2 linked regions of the Drosophila melanogaster genome follow. The gene in region 1 interacts genetically with each later gene. Each region holds a gene or a part of one and is shown on either strand. Other genes may lie near its edges.

Region 1 (8,284 bases):
TTTTCACGGGGTGCTAGCAGAATCCGAGACTACACAGTCGACGTCGACGTCGACGACGAAAGTGTTTCGTAACCGTTTTGGGCTAACTACAGCAATTCCTCCCTATACCCTATACCATATTCGAGTATGAGTGTGTCAAAACAAACCAAAAGATGAGTGTTGGCATCCCGGGGCAGAATGTTAGTATAGAAAACACTACACAAACCAGCACACCACAGCAAACAGAGTGGAGTGTGATAAGGGCCACATTACACATACATATTTGCATACTGATAATGGATGTGCCGCAGATTACGGGGTATCCCAGAGGGGTTGGTCGGGGGGGTCTGGCCCACCATCCCGACGGATCCGACTACGATTGGTCCGGACACGTGAATCGGGCGACTCACGTGGATATCGCGCAGTGATCGCGTAATTGAGATTTGCTCATGATCATGGAACTGGAAGCTGTGCAATTGAAACTGCCAAGTGTATAGCCAGATTACATAAGGTAACGATATTTAGTAGAAAATTGCTATGCCCCAGGAGGATAGGTCAGTTATAGGCTCGTACTTTAAAACACTAACATTATACAGTGGTCTACTGACTTAATGCAATATAGTTTTCTTAGTTCTATTATTAGCACTGATAAAGTGCACTTTATGTATTGCACTTTAATCAGTATTTATGTACATACATATGTATTTCATTTCATTTATTCTCCACTTTTCCGGTTTTCTGGCATTTGGTAATCGCCATCGAGAACTGTTTTTATGCGAATTCAATGGAATTTCTTCTTTCGATTCGATACTATTCACTGTTTGTTCCGCGTTAGTGTTTTACTGCCTGGTGAATAGGAAATTACGTAATATCTCCCGACCTTACTTTTTTACAACAACTCGTTGTTTGCCTAGTGTAGTACTTAAATAGCCGTCTTTGTCTTCCACTGCAACTAAGTTGATAGTCACCCCATCCATTCTGATAACCGTATCGCAGTGTTAAGCACTTAATTATGATTTATATAAGCTGTGAAGTGGTTTTGTAATAGCCAACCAGACAGTTTGGTGGCTGGGAAGTTATCGGCACGACCATATATTCCCCTTGTTAAACTATCCAAAGTTTCAAAGCCACGTGATCTGTCGATTTGTTCGTCGTACATTAAATAAATTGGTAATTGTATGCAGATTTAGACGAGTTCAATAGTTAGCTAGCACTGTTTACTGTTTACTCTACTCGAATTAGATTTTCTGGGAATTTATTCTGAACGCAAATATGTTTGTAGAGTGGGGAAACCCAAAAATTCACTGATTGGAACTTCAAATATACATATGTACGTATGTGTATGTACTTTAATGCTATACATTAAAATCAAATCAATAAGCTACATCTTAAGGCAAATACTTTTGCTTCCTTATCAATGTTCTTAAATTTTTAATTACCTTTCATAATGTTAATTAAATACGTAAGGAAATTTCCTCTAGTTATCCACTCTTACATGCAACTTAAAAAAGTGTCTTGCCTAAGCTTTTCATTCAAATCAGTTTTCCCAACTCCCCAGCCATTTGCATGTGTGCATTTGAATGCATTCTCGATTATTAATAATGTGCTGCTGGTTCTCTGAATATTTTGTGTAAGACGCTTGCGTCACCAACCCAACTGGCACACACACACAAGCATACTCACACGAACACATCGAACCCAAAAAGGGTAAAAAAAAATGAATACAACCAGTACCGAGAATCGGAATCAGAATGGGAATAAGAATCGCAATCGAAATCGGACTCACGCGGCCAAAGCACCTCAGTCACCTTACGTGTGTGTGCGTTCTTGTGTGTGTTTGAGCGTCAAGAGCGAACCCGCTGGCAAGAGCTACCCCACCCCCCGCAGCAGGCAATCACGTTCTAGTTTCGAATATGCAGCTCGAAACGATTTTGTTCTTGCCGAGATTGCCGCGCTGATTACTCAACAACAACGGCAATGTGATCGCTTGCAACGGGCATGCTGGTACATGTTCGAAGCGGCGATTGAGAAATTTCACTTTTACTGCATCGAACCGTTCGCAACATGTTGCGAGCGAACACGCTAGGTCGCGTGTATCGGATGCGTGTTGCCACAACGTGACCGCCGAGCAGCTCGTCGGAGAAATGCTTTTACAAATTCAATTGCGATTCAGCCTTCTTTCGAAGCGGTTCAGGCGCTCGCGATAAGTCTCTAGACTATACTACCAAACCATATAATATACAGCCGATCGGGTTCACAACCGCGATAAGCAAGTGAGAGCCGTCGGTCGAGCCGTTAAAAGCATTTCGGCCAAGTGCATCAAGCGCAGAAACGTCGCGTTAGCCAACTAAATCGGTCAAATTGGTTAAACCCCGAACTGCACAAGTGTTTGAAAAACAATTTTCAAAAGATTTGGATAATATCTGCAAGCGCACACAAAAACAATGCCAATTTGTTCGTTCTAACAACAAAACATTATGTCGATTGTCTGCACGCTGGAACAGAAAGTGAACTTTTTCAAAGCGGCTGCAACGACCAAAAATCTGTTGATACTCAAAAACAATACGGATACGAATTACATCAATAACTACAAGCAGGATAATCCCAGCAACAATAAATGTAGGTGTTCAAGTGCTACGAAAGTTATAACAAATAAATCAGTGTTACGAAAAGTTTAAAACTATGTGCTTCTTTGAGCAGCATTTTCGAACTTTCCACGTTTGATCTTGAAATCTGTTGAGAATTTGTGTGAAAACTGATGACAATCACAATATTTAAATATTTCTGCTCTTTTTGCGTAGTACAGTGGCAACTGTTAATCAGTTCTAGAATATTTACTAAACTTAGTCGGCTGAAAACAATAACACACGAAAGATTGAGACGCAAAACAAAATAGCCCGAAAAAGTGTGGGTGAATGGGGGGCTGAGTGGGGTGCGGTGGAATGACTGGCGAAGCTTAGTCATTTTGTTTTTGTGAATTTTGTCAAGATGCCGACTGCAGCGCTGCTCTCTGTGTTGCCCTCTCTGTTGCTCTCCCGTTTAGGGGTTGTCGGCAGAGTCTGGCCGCCAGAGCGCTTAAGTGTACGTGCATGTGTGTGTGTGTGTGTGTTTGTGTCTGCGAGCACATTGAACTGTAAATGCCAATTCGATGGTCATGGTGAGGGTGAGTGAGAAAGAAAGAGAGTGGGAGAAAGATGTCTAAGGGTACGGGAGCGGGGGCGCACTCACACACAGATGTGCAATGTGCGATTTCTTGTTTACATTCTAACACTTTGTCTGTGTGTGTGTGATTGTGCTGGTTCTTCGTCGCCTTTGTCGTCTAATTCTCGCTCCCTCTCTTTCTCGCTCCCACTCGCCGATTCTTGCATCATTCGGCGTAATCATTGTGTAAATGCCTGTGCTAAAAACGAAAGCAAACGGTAAAGCTATAGACGAGGGCAAGCAGCAAGGGCAAGGACCAACGAACAAAGAAAGTTCTGCATGTTTGTGTGTGCGTTGGGCCAGACAAGATCGCATTAGACATTTTGGGGACCCAACGAGTTTTGCGTTGAGTGGCGGACGCCTTGTCAATTTGTTAGCTTATCAAATGCTCAGCCTGATTAGTATTACTAAATATGTATATATTTTCTAAATGTCGCATATGTAGCTAGATAAGAACATTTGAAAGAAATGCCATAAATAGGTGATAAGTGATATTGTTTTGGTAGCAGGAAAGAGATATTCTTCGCAATCTTGGCTTTTAATTGGGGGCAAGGTCTTGTTTGTTTATTATTTTCGGGGCTGCAAAAAGTGTAGTCTGCTTCCAGGCGCAGGAAATGAGTGTTGTACAAATTGGTAGAACGCTTTAATTTGAATTCATAACAGAGAATAGTTGAAATAGTTTAAAAGATCTTAAAAGTGCTATACAATACTTTTTAAAGGTATAAATAAGTTTAGCAATATAATAAAATAAAATACGTCCCTTCTTAAGGAACTATGAATGTCAAAGAGACTAACCTCTCTATCTTTGCATTGCAGTTCCCCGCATCCAAGCTCAAAGCAACAACAGCCATCTGCAACACCAGCAGCAACTGCAGCAGAAACTAGCGCAGCTGCATCACTACAGCCAGCAGAAGCTGAGCGGCAGCGACTTTCCCTACGGGCCACGCCCCCCCACCGGAGGCAAAGAGGAGAAGCTGCTCCTGCTAGCGCCGCCGGGCAAACTCTATCCGGAGGCGTCTGTGTCCACAGCAATGCCCGAGGTCCTCAGCGGCACGCCCACCAACAGCCACAACAAAGCCAACATCGCCATGATGAACAACGTCCGGCTATCCAATATATCGCCGACTCTCTCGATGAACGGCAGCTCCAACGAGGCTTCTAACTGTAAGTGTCCGAGAATATAATGATGCAGTGGCTCTGATCATATCAATTATCTATCCATCTATAGTTCCAAAGCTTGAGAACTAATCCTATGCCCTTCTCTCCTTACAGTGCATCCGTTGTCCATGTACGGAGGATCCATAAGTCCGCAGTCAAATGACAGCGGCATGTCCGACAGTCTGGGCAAATATGTCCCGGGAAGCGGCTATGGAGATGGAATGATGGCCCAGTCGCCCTCACAGGGTGGCAATGGACCGCAGTCGGCGTTGACCGCCGCCCAGAAAGAGCTCTTCTCGCAGCGAAAGCAACGCGAATTCACCCCGGACAACAAGAAGGACGAGAGCTACTGGGATCGCCGGAGAAGGAACAACGAGGCGGCCAAGCGGAGTCGAGAGAAGAGGCGCTACAATGACATGGTTCTGGAGCAGCGCGTCATCGAGCTGACCAAAGAGAACCATGTGCTGAAGGCCCAGCTGGACGCCATACGCGACAAGTTCAACATCTCCGGCGAGAATCTGGTGAGCGTGGAGAAGATCCTCGCCTCGCTGCCCACCAGCGAACAGGTGCTGAGTAACACAAAGCGCGCCAAGATGAGCGGCAGTGGTGGCTCCTCCTCGGGCTCCTCGCCCTCGGGCAGTGGATCGGGCGAGGGATCGCCTCAAGGTGGCCACAATGGCTATCCGGTGGGTCCACCACTATCTCCACTGATCTACGGACCCAATGGCAATGCCCGGCCAGAGGCCACGGTTAAGAGTGTCCACCACATACATCATGCGGGTGTTGCGCCGCCACCAACGCACCTACAACAGTTGGTTGTGCCCCAGTCCCAGACACAGCATCTCTACCAGCCACAGCCGCAGCAGCATCAGCCGCATCAGCAGCAGCAGATTTCCCAGCCACCGCAGCAACAACAGCAGCAGCAGGAGCCAAGTCCCAGTGCCGGCTCCAGTTCGCCAGTCATCTCCGATCCGCACAACCGCCCGCCAAGCACCACCATTGCCAATCTCCAGGTGCAACTGCAGCAGGCACTAAACCGCAATGTCAGGCCCGAGGATCTGGACAGCTTGCGCAAGGTGGTGGCCGCCGGCGCTCTATACAATGCGGCAGCCGTGGTGGGAGCACCACCACCGCCACCATCTGCTGGTCTCTACGTGCCCGCTCCCAGCGCCTATAAGGATCACCTGGAAGCGGCTGCAGCCTGGAGCCACAATGTCGAGGCTGCTGTGAGCAGCAGTGCTGTGGATGCGGTCAGTAGCTCATCGGTGTCCGGCAGTGCGGCCAGTGTGCTGAATCTATCGCGTCGGGCCTGCTCACCCAGCTACGAGCACATGCTCTCCTCCACCACCTCCTCCACTCTTTCCTCGGCCTCCTCATCGGGAGCTGTTTCCGGCGATGATGAGCAGGAGCACGAACCAGCGCACATGGCTCCACTGCAGCTGCAGCGAAGCAGTCCGCAGCAGGGCAGCGATGCCAACAACTGTCTGCCCCTCAAGCTGCGCCACAAGTCCCATCTCGGCGACAAGGATGCGGCGGCCACGGCGCTACTCTCACTGCAGCACATCAAGCAGGAGCCCAACTGCAGTCGGGCATCGCCGCCGGCTTGGAACGATGGCGGCGACAATTCCAGCGACGAAAGGGACTCCGGCATCTCCATCGCCAGTGCGGAGTGGACGGCGCAGCTGCAGAGGAAGCTACTGGCGCCCAAGGAGGCCAATGTGGTAACCAGTGCCGAGCGCGATCAAATGCTCAAGTCGCAGCTGGAGCGCCTAGAGTCCGAGGTGGCCAGCATCAAGATGATCTTGGCGGAGTAAGCAAGCCCCTGTCCAAGCTGGACAGGATCACGACTAGGCGGATCAGGAGAGAGAGCGAAGAGACAGAGGCTCTGAAGGGATCAGAGTCGGGGGAGCAGAGCAGTAGATGGCAAAGCAGAGAGTTCCATGGCGCCAGTAGTTCTCCTGGACAAAGAAGTTGGTTTAAGCATATGTTAGTAGAGATGTCCAAAACCGAGTGATAACTATTAGATACCGATGCATGCATGTCTCCATCTCTATGTAGAACTCTAGGGCCAGGTCTGGACCACAAGGATTTGACACAAGACCCTGTGGCCCGAAACTGGCCAACACTTATCTGTGTGTATGTTTATCTATCCACTGTATTGAGTCTTGTAATCGTGAATGTTTAACTATATAGATCTCGTCAACTCGGAGCTAAAAAAAAATCCTTAGGGTCAGCCCAAAAGAATTTCTAATTTAACCTGTTTGTTGTATACACACAAGCTATTTGTTTGCATAGCTAGCTGGTGACCTGCGATGAGCATCGGGGTCACCAGCCACGTTATTGTTCTCTTATGCATCCCAAGTTTCCTTATGCACAGCGAAAGTGGAGAAGATAAAGAATTATTATGTTTGTAAGCAAACGTTACAAAGTATTTGCTGTTGTACATATTACACAATTAATTATATATACTATATAACTATACAGATATCTATATTCCTATCATGTACATAATTTTAGTTGCAAGCTAAGCTTATTTTATTTTATTTTATTTTACTTTGTATTGAGTACTATTATTATTATTATTATTATGTAGTGAAACAAACATATACATTACACTTAAGAAACGCGTGAAGCACATTCAAAACGTGAGAGATGAAAGAAATCTGAAAAGAATTGATGAATAAATTCTGCAATAAATAATTTTAAATATCCTCCTACCTTAATGTTTGTCGTTCGCCATTTATTTATGTTTTTTGCCGCTTCGGTCACCCGTGTGGCTCACAGCGCTTCAACTAAATGTTATCGAAGTTTATAAAACTTTAGAAACAAAACTAAAAAAGAACTCTAAGCCACACAAAAAACACACATTTTATTTGTAGACCATCTAGCTGAGTAGATCGATCGTTTGGTGTCGTAATTCGAGCATTCACTTTTAAAGCTGTATTACACTTTACAAATAATCGCAGTGGAGCACACAAGAAAATACATATGACTACTACTATATACATACAGCCCTATCTATATGCATATTAAAATAACTCGTTTGTGTTGATCAATGAAAATAAACTATTTATAATAATGAAACAAACCAGCAAAGGTCTTTTACTGCCAATTGTTTACTGCACTTCAATATTCGCCGGTTTGTTGGGTGTGAATCATACACAATTATTGTATATCAGCAAAGTGCAAGTTAATCTATTACACAGCTTTTTAAAAATATTACATCACCATCATCGCACGAGCTTATCGCATATTGCAGAATGAGTTAGTTGAAAACCTGAAAACTTTCCAAAATGATTTCAAACTTCAGGTACGTCGAGTGGTAAAGAGATTATTTATTCTTAATAACTTTGTTGCCTTGTATTCATACAACGAAAAAAAGTTTTGAAAATTTAAATTTATTTAGAATAATATCGTGTTACTTTTCGATTCTCTGTTATCATTATCATTCGAAATACAGTATAAGTATAATAATTAAATATTCTCTGTCTTTATAATAAATCCTTAAACATCACATGAAAAGTTTTTCTGTTGGGTTTTTGCCTTTGTTTTTATAAGTTCTAAACACTTTCCTTTCGTTCTTTGGTATCATTTTCATAATTTTTTCATATCGGGAAATCGAATATTTTCCGCTTGTTTCGTTAGCCTAGGAAAAACGTATCTAGAGTCCACAAAAGTTATAGACTTAGATCAAGACCTGTTTATAAATTTCGTTAATATATAGGTATATATAATAACTTAACAATAGTAAGTACCATATGTTGTGGTTTTTGAGGGTTTTGGTATCTGGGGATTCGGTTGTAAATACGTGTAAATACAGAATTTCATTTGGTGTAAGACGATTTCTCACTTTCTGGTTGTATAAACTCTCCAGCCTTGCCTTGAAGATTAGCATTCGCGATATAGGTAAAGAGGTCTGTATATATCGTTTAACTATAATATCTAT
Region 2 (5,147 bases), on another chromosome or scaffold:
GCTGACGTCGGATGATATCAGTCCCAGTGGCCGGGATGCAGATAGAGGTTCTACAGACATATCGCACTGGGTTACCATGCACATACATACATATGTATGTAAGAGTATATATATCCAGACTTCCCAACGGAACGAACACTCATTTTCTAATGCAGCCTGGGCGAATATAGAATGGAAATCCTCAGAACTAGTCATACACTTTATCAGTTGTTTTTGGTTTTTCTCCCTTTAAGTGTGCTTTTTGTGTTCTCAAAACAATTTAGTTATTCAGAGTACTGTATACAACTAATGTTTAAGACAACCAAGAAAAGTTGAAGTATCTAAGCGGTAGAAAGATATATACATAAGTTTATATATATATACGAATGCACAGTACAGCTGTTAAGTAGCACTTTTCCATTTTTCTATAGTTAACAAACCATTTAAGGTCATTACTATATATCCAATATATATTTTCCAACAATTTCCCCCCCTTTTTTCCTCAAGTTTTTCACCTCACCTGAGCTGGCTGGCTGAAATCGCGCTTTCAAGCTGTTCAAATGGTTGTGATGCTCATTGGCGATCACTGCCGCTGCGACGGCATTTGCCACATGTTGCACGGAGGACACATTGTTGTTGCTGTTATTGTTGCTATTGCCACTATTGTTGCCGTTATTGTTGTTGTTATTCTGGCCGGGATTTCCACCATTTCCATTACCAGTTGCCGCCACAACAGCATTACCATTGCCACTGGCATTCCCATTCGATCCCTGGTTGCCACTTGCAACTGCAGCGGCTGCCGCAACAGCGGCAGCATTGCAACTGGCAGCAGCAGCTGCTGCAGCTGCAGCGGCATTACTCTGCGGATCCATGAAGGAGTTGCGCTGGTAATGGGGATTCTCCTGGTAAATCCTCTGGTACGTTAGCGTGGGCAGCGTCCACGAGTTGTTCGTCTTGTAGTGGAAGTTGCCGGTGCCGAAAATGGAGTGGGGGTTGGTGTTGCCACCGGTATTCCCGGCTGCAGCAGCAACGGCGGCCGATGACAGTGTATGTGCCAGCTGGGCGGCATGATGCTGCTGCTGCTGCTGCTGTGCGTGCTGCTGTTGCTGCTGCTGGTGGTGTTGCGGCGGCGGCTGCTGCTGCTGTTGTTGTTGTTGTTGCTGCTGGTGTGTATGATGCGGATGCAACGGGTGGCCGTGATGTTGCTGCTGATGCTGATGCTGGGAGTGCTGCTGTTGCTGCTGCTGCTGCTGCTGCAGGACATGCTGATGGTGCGCTTGATGGTGTTGCTGTAGGTGCTGTTGGTGTTGCTGCTGCTGTTGATGCTGCTGCTGTTGCTGATGGTGCAGGGCGGCGGTTTGTTGCTGCTGCTGCAAGGCCCAGGCATTCACGCCATTGTTGCTGGTGGCACCTGCCCCGCCGCCTCCTGTGGCGCTACTCTTGCCCGAATCATTGCTGCTAACACTGCTGCGATGGTTGTCCATGGTTCCCGATGATCCTGTCATGCTGCCATCATTTCCGCTGTCGCTGTTGCCGCTGCTGCTGTTGTTGCCGCTGCTGTTGTTGTTGTTGCTGCTGCTGCTGTTGCCACCGCTATTGCCCGCCGCTGCAGCAGCAACGTGCGAGTTAAGCTGCTGGAAATACTGCGACAATGTGGCATTCGCGTGCTCCTGGGCAAAGAAACTAGTACACGAATTCGTATCCGACGACATGATCACTGGTTTCAACAACTGGGTACGTTATTCACTGGGTTATCCTTCACTGGTTACGGTTAATCACTGTTTTCTGATGATCCTAGGTGATCACCTCCTTGTGCTGAACGTGATTAAATTTGCTGGTCAGCAGTATAAACTTTGGGCCACGGCCAAAAGTTGTGCGCATTGTCTTTACACTTGGGTTCACTTTAGTTTTTTTGTTTTTAACATAAACGCTTGTCTGTGTTATCTGAAAAAAATATTGTGCTTTTGTTTTTGAAAAACCCAGATTAGTGTTTGAGCACTTTGGTATGTTGCTGGTTTTTTATTTGCCAGTCAATTGATAGCCAATTCGTTGTTGCTAATGAACAGGTGATAGGTGGGTGAAAAATGTTGGGAATGATTCAGTTTTTCAGTTTTATTAGTGAGTATTGAGTATGATGGGGAAGCGATTTTGATAGCAACTGATAATGAATGCGCTTGTTTTCGTGTGGTCAGGGAATGCACTTTGTTTTCGTCTATTTTTGTATGATTTTTATTTAGTTTTCCATTAGTTTTTATTGATGATCATGATGATAAGGAATAAGAAAAGGCATTGTATAGTTGTATAGTTTGCGCTTTCTTTTAGTTCAATCAATTTTGTATAATAAGATTTTTGTGACGCTATAGAAATCTTAAAGTGGAATCAATAGGTACAAAGGCTTTCCGTGTTCTTTATGGAATTTTTGCAATCAAAACATTCACGGTCATTTATTGTTTTTGCTTCACTTTTAAAACGAGACAAACTAATAATTATTTGCCAATTAAACTGTATATCAAATCAACCGAGTCAAAGGCTTCCAATGTTTTTTTTTTTTTAACATTATTTCAACGTAAATTTGGAATATTTTCTATATATAAATCAAAACAAATAAATTATTATTTTCCAAATCAATTGAATTATCCTTTTCATTGATGAATAACTCTTCTTCCTTTCAGCCTTTTGTTGAATACCTTTTCTTATTCTCAGAATTTGTTGCTGCGCTTGGATATGAGATCGTTTTTTGCTTTGAGTTTTGCTGGTTCGTATTTTTCTTTTTGAAGTTTGTTGTTTTGTAGAAAAATTAAAAGTAAATTAAACTGTTTGAAATTAGATCCGTAACTTTAGCGCTGTTGTTTAAAGATTCTCGAGAGATCTCCGGATCTCTCGCTTTTTTCTCTATCTCTCTCTTTCACTCTGCCTCGTTCGATCTCTCTCTCTCTTTCTGCGTATTTATTTCTTTTTTAATAATAGTAATTATTCGAATGACACACACACACACACTTTAGATTGATTTCACAATGAACCCATTGCACTTGAAATTTGATAAAACAAAAATGACTTCCTCGATTTATAGTTCTTCTAGAACTATTTCTGTTGCTTGAAAAATCAATTTCAATTAATTTATTTTGTTGAGCGTAGAAATATTTTTTGATTTTCCCGCTCGAGTGGCGAAAACACGGAACGAGCTGCGACGATTTTCACATGAGAACGCGATGCGACAGAATGCCGGCCGAGTAATTTTCTCGGTCTCAATGTCCGTCTCTGCTTTTCCTCTGCCGCCGCTGCAGTCGTCGCTGCAGTCGACGTCGCAGTCGCCGCTACCGCTCTCTCAGCCAGCTAAAAATTGCAATTTTCTGCAAGTAAGTCGGCTTACGTAAAGGGCGGAGGTCCGAAAACAGTAACCCCTCTCCTACTTTGATAATTGTTTAACTGGCTTTTTTTTATCAAATGTTGGTAGCGCAAAATATTTGTACATGTACAACAAATATTTTTACATACAGCACTGGGAAAATGATTAGCATTACTACTATATTAATCAATTCAAGTGCCATAGGTATTTTTAGTACAGTTCTTGGTATATATTAAACAGTGTTCATATACGAGTACTTCGACTCAGATTTAGTATCAAATCTATTATAAATTATAATTCACTTAGGACTAAACCTATGTTATCTTCTTATATCTAATTATCTATCAAGAACTTAATAATATTTTTTTTTAAAGCAACTTTGTTTTATCTCAGTTATTTCAACATTACTTATAATATTCTAGTAACAAAATTTATTATTTTAAAACATTTTTTTCTTGCTCTTAAATGATTGCTATTATCTTGGACATAGCTGTAGTTATTTGTATATACTTGGGGGACTGGAACTGCGACGCCCGCTGAGGCGCTGAGCGCTGCTGCGGCCAAGTCACGCGGATTTCAATATGACCCAAAGCCCACTGTCTAGCACAGTTCTAAGCACGTGTTGCGGACACACCGGGCACACACACATACGCAAATTAATTGAGAGAGAGCGACAGAGAGAATGAGAGTGCACGTTGAACGACAAGCGCACTCAAAGATACACGTACCGATAGGGTGACAAATAGAGATACGAATGCAACTCAAAAGTTTCCAGTCGATTCGCAATAGAGCGCTATGTCTGTCCCCCTGTAACGGGTGTACCTATGGCCACTAGACTTTACACATCAGCTGGAGTGCGTGGCCGATTGGCCAATTGCCGTGCCAATATTCGGTTAATTCGGCACTGGTGCGTCTGCAACACGTGACGTATGCGTAATGTGCTCCAAAGGATTGCCTCTGTGCCACCAACTAATTACCGCTGCGTCATTCCCAGTAAGTAGATCCGATGGGGCAGAGTGGTGGGGGGGGGGGGTCTGAAGCTGAGTGCTTAACACTCTGGGCGAAAACCCAATGAAACGACGTAGTAGCTGCAACGGAGCGTATACTTAATCTGCATTCTATCGAAGGCGCTAAACTATTGCCGTAGGTCGCCGTTTTTCTTGGAAATTTCAAAAAGTATTCAAACTATTCGAGGGCTTAATCAAGTTTAAATAATTATAATAATTGCTCTCTGTTGGCATAGGTCCGGTAAATTTTCTTAGAAGTTTTGTATAATACACTCAATACTTACCCAATGATCATCGAAGATTTTATAACTATGAATCAGAGCAGTAAGCAATTTGAGATAAAATATAAAAACACATTTCTGATAAAAATGCAAATAAACTGAATTACAATTACATGGATTATTTAAGAAATATATAAATAAAGAAATATATAAAATAAATAAAATATATAAGACTTATTCAATTTGTAAGGTTCCATCTTTCGTTAAACCAATTCAAAAGAATTCCAAGAATATCCTCGCCATTTTTCTACTTGTTAAACTTGTTAAGTCGCCCACCTTTTTTCAGCCTTGTGCTATTCTTCGGTTAAACAAAACTCTTTTTTTTTTGCATTTGAGAAACCCAGTCAGCCCTGAAAACCCATCAATTGGCATAACCATGGACCATGTGGTAGAGCGAACTTCAGTCACCTGTTTTACCCAGGCGGGTCAATTCTGGGAATATCGAGTATACGCCCCGTGCAGCCAGTGACTATTTTTGGAAAGCAACAAGTCATCCGAAGCTCCGAAGCGAAGGAAAAAACGAAGTTTGCTTCG

What was found.
Region 2: of vri (region 1) and Pdp1, changing one enhances a phenotype caused by changing the other (phenotypic enhancement), as found in Drosophila melanogaster (one study listed by BioGRID).

What each region holds. Positions count from the first base shown.
Region 1 is NT_033779.5:5,303,569-5,311,852, forward strand, and holds vri (vrille), read left to right. Parts: upstream 1-2,081; 5' UTR 2,082-2,456; coding exon 2,457-2,598; intron 2,599-3,996; coding exon 3,997-4,344; intron 4,345-4,452; coding exon 4,453-6,152; 3' UTR 6,153-7,655; downstream 7,656-8,284.
Region 2 is NT_037436.4:7,829,888-7,835,034, forward strand, and holds the start of Pdp1 (PAR-domain protein 1), read right to left. Parts: upstream 3,187-5,147; 5' UTR 2,667-3,186; intron 1,941-2,666; 5' UTR 1,692-1,940; coding exon 500-1,691; intron 1-499.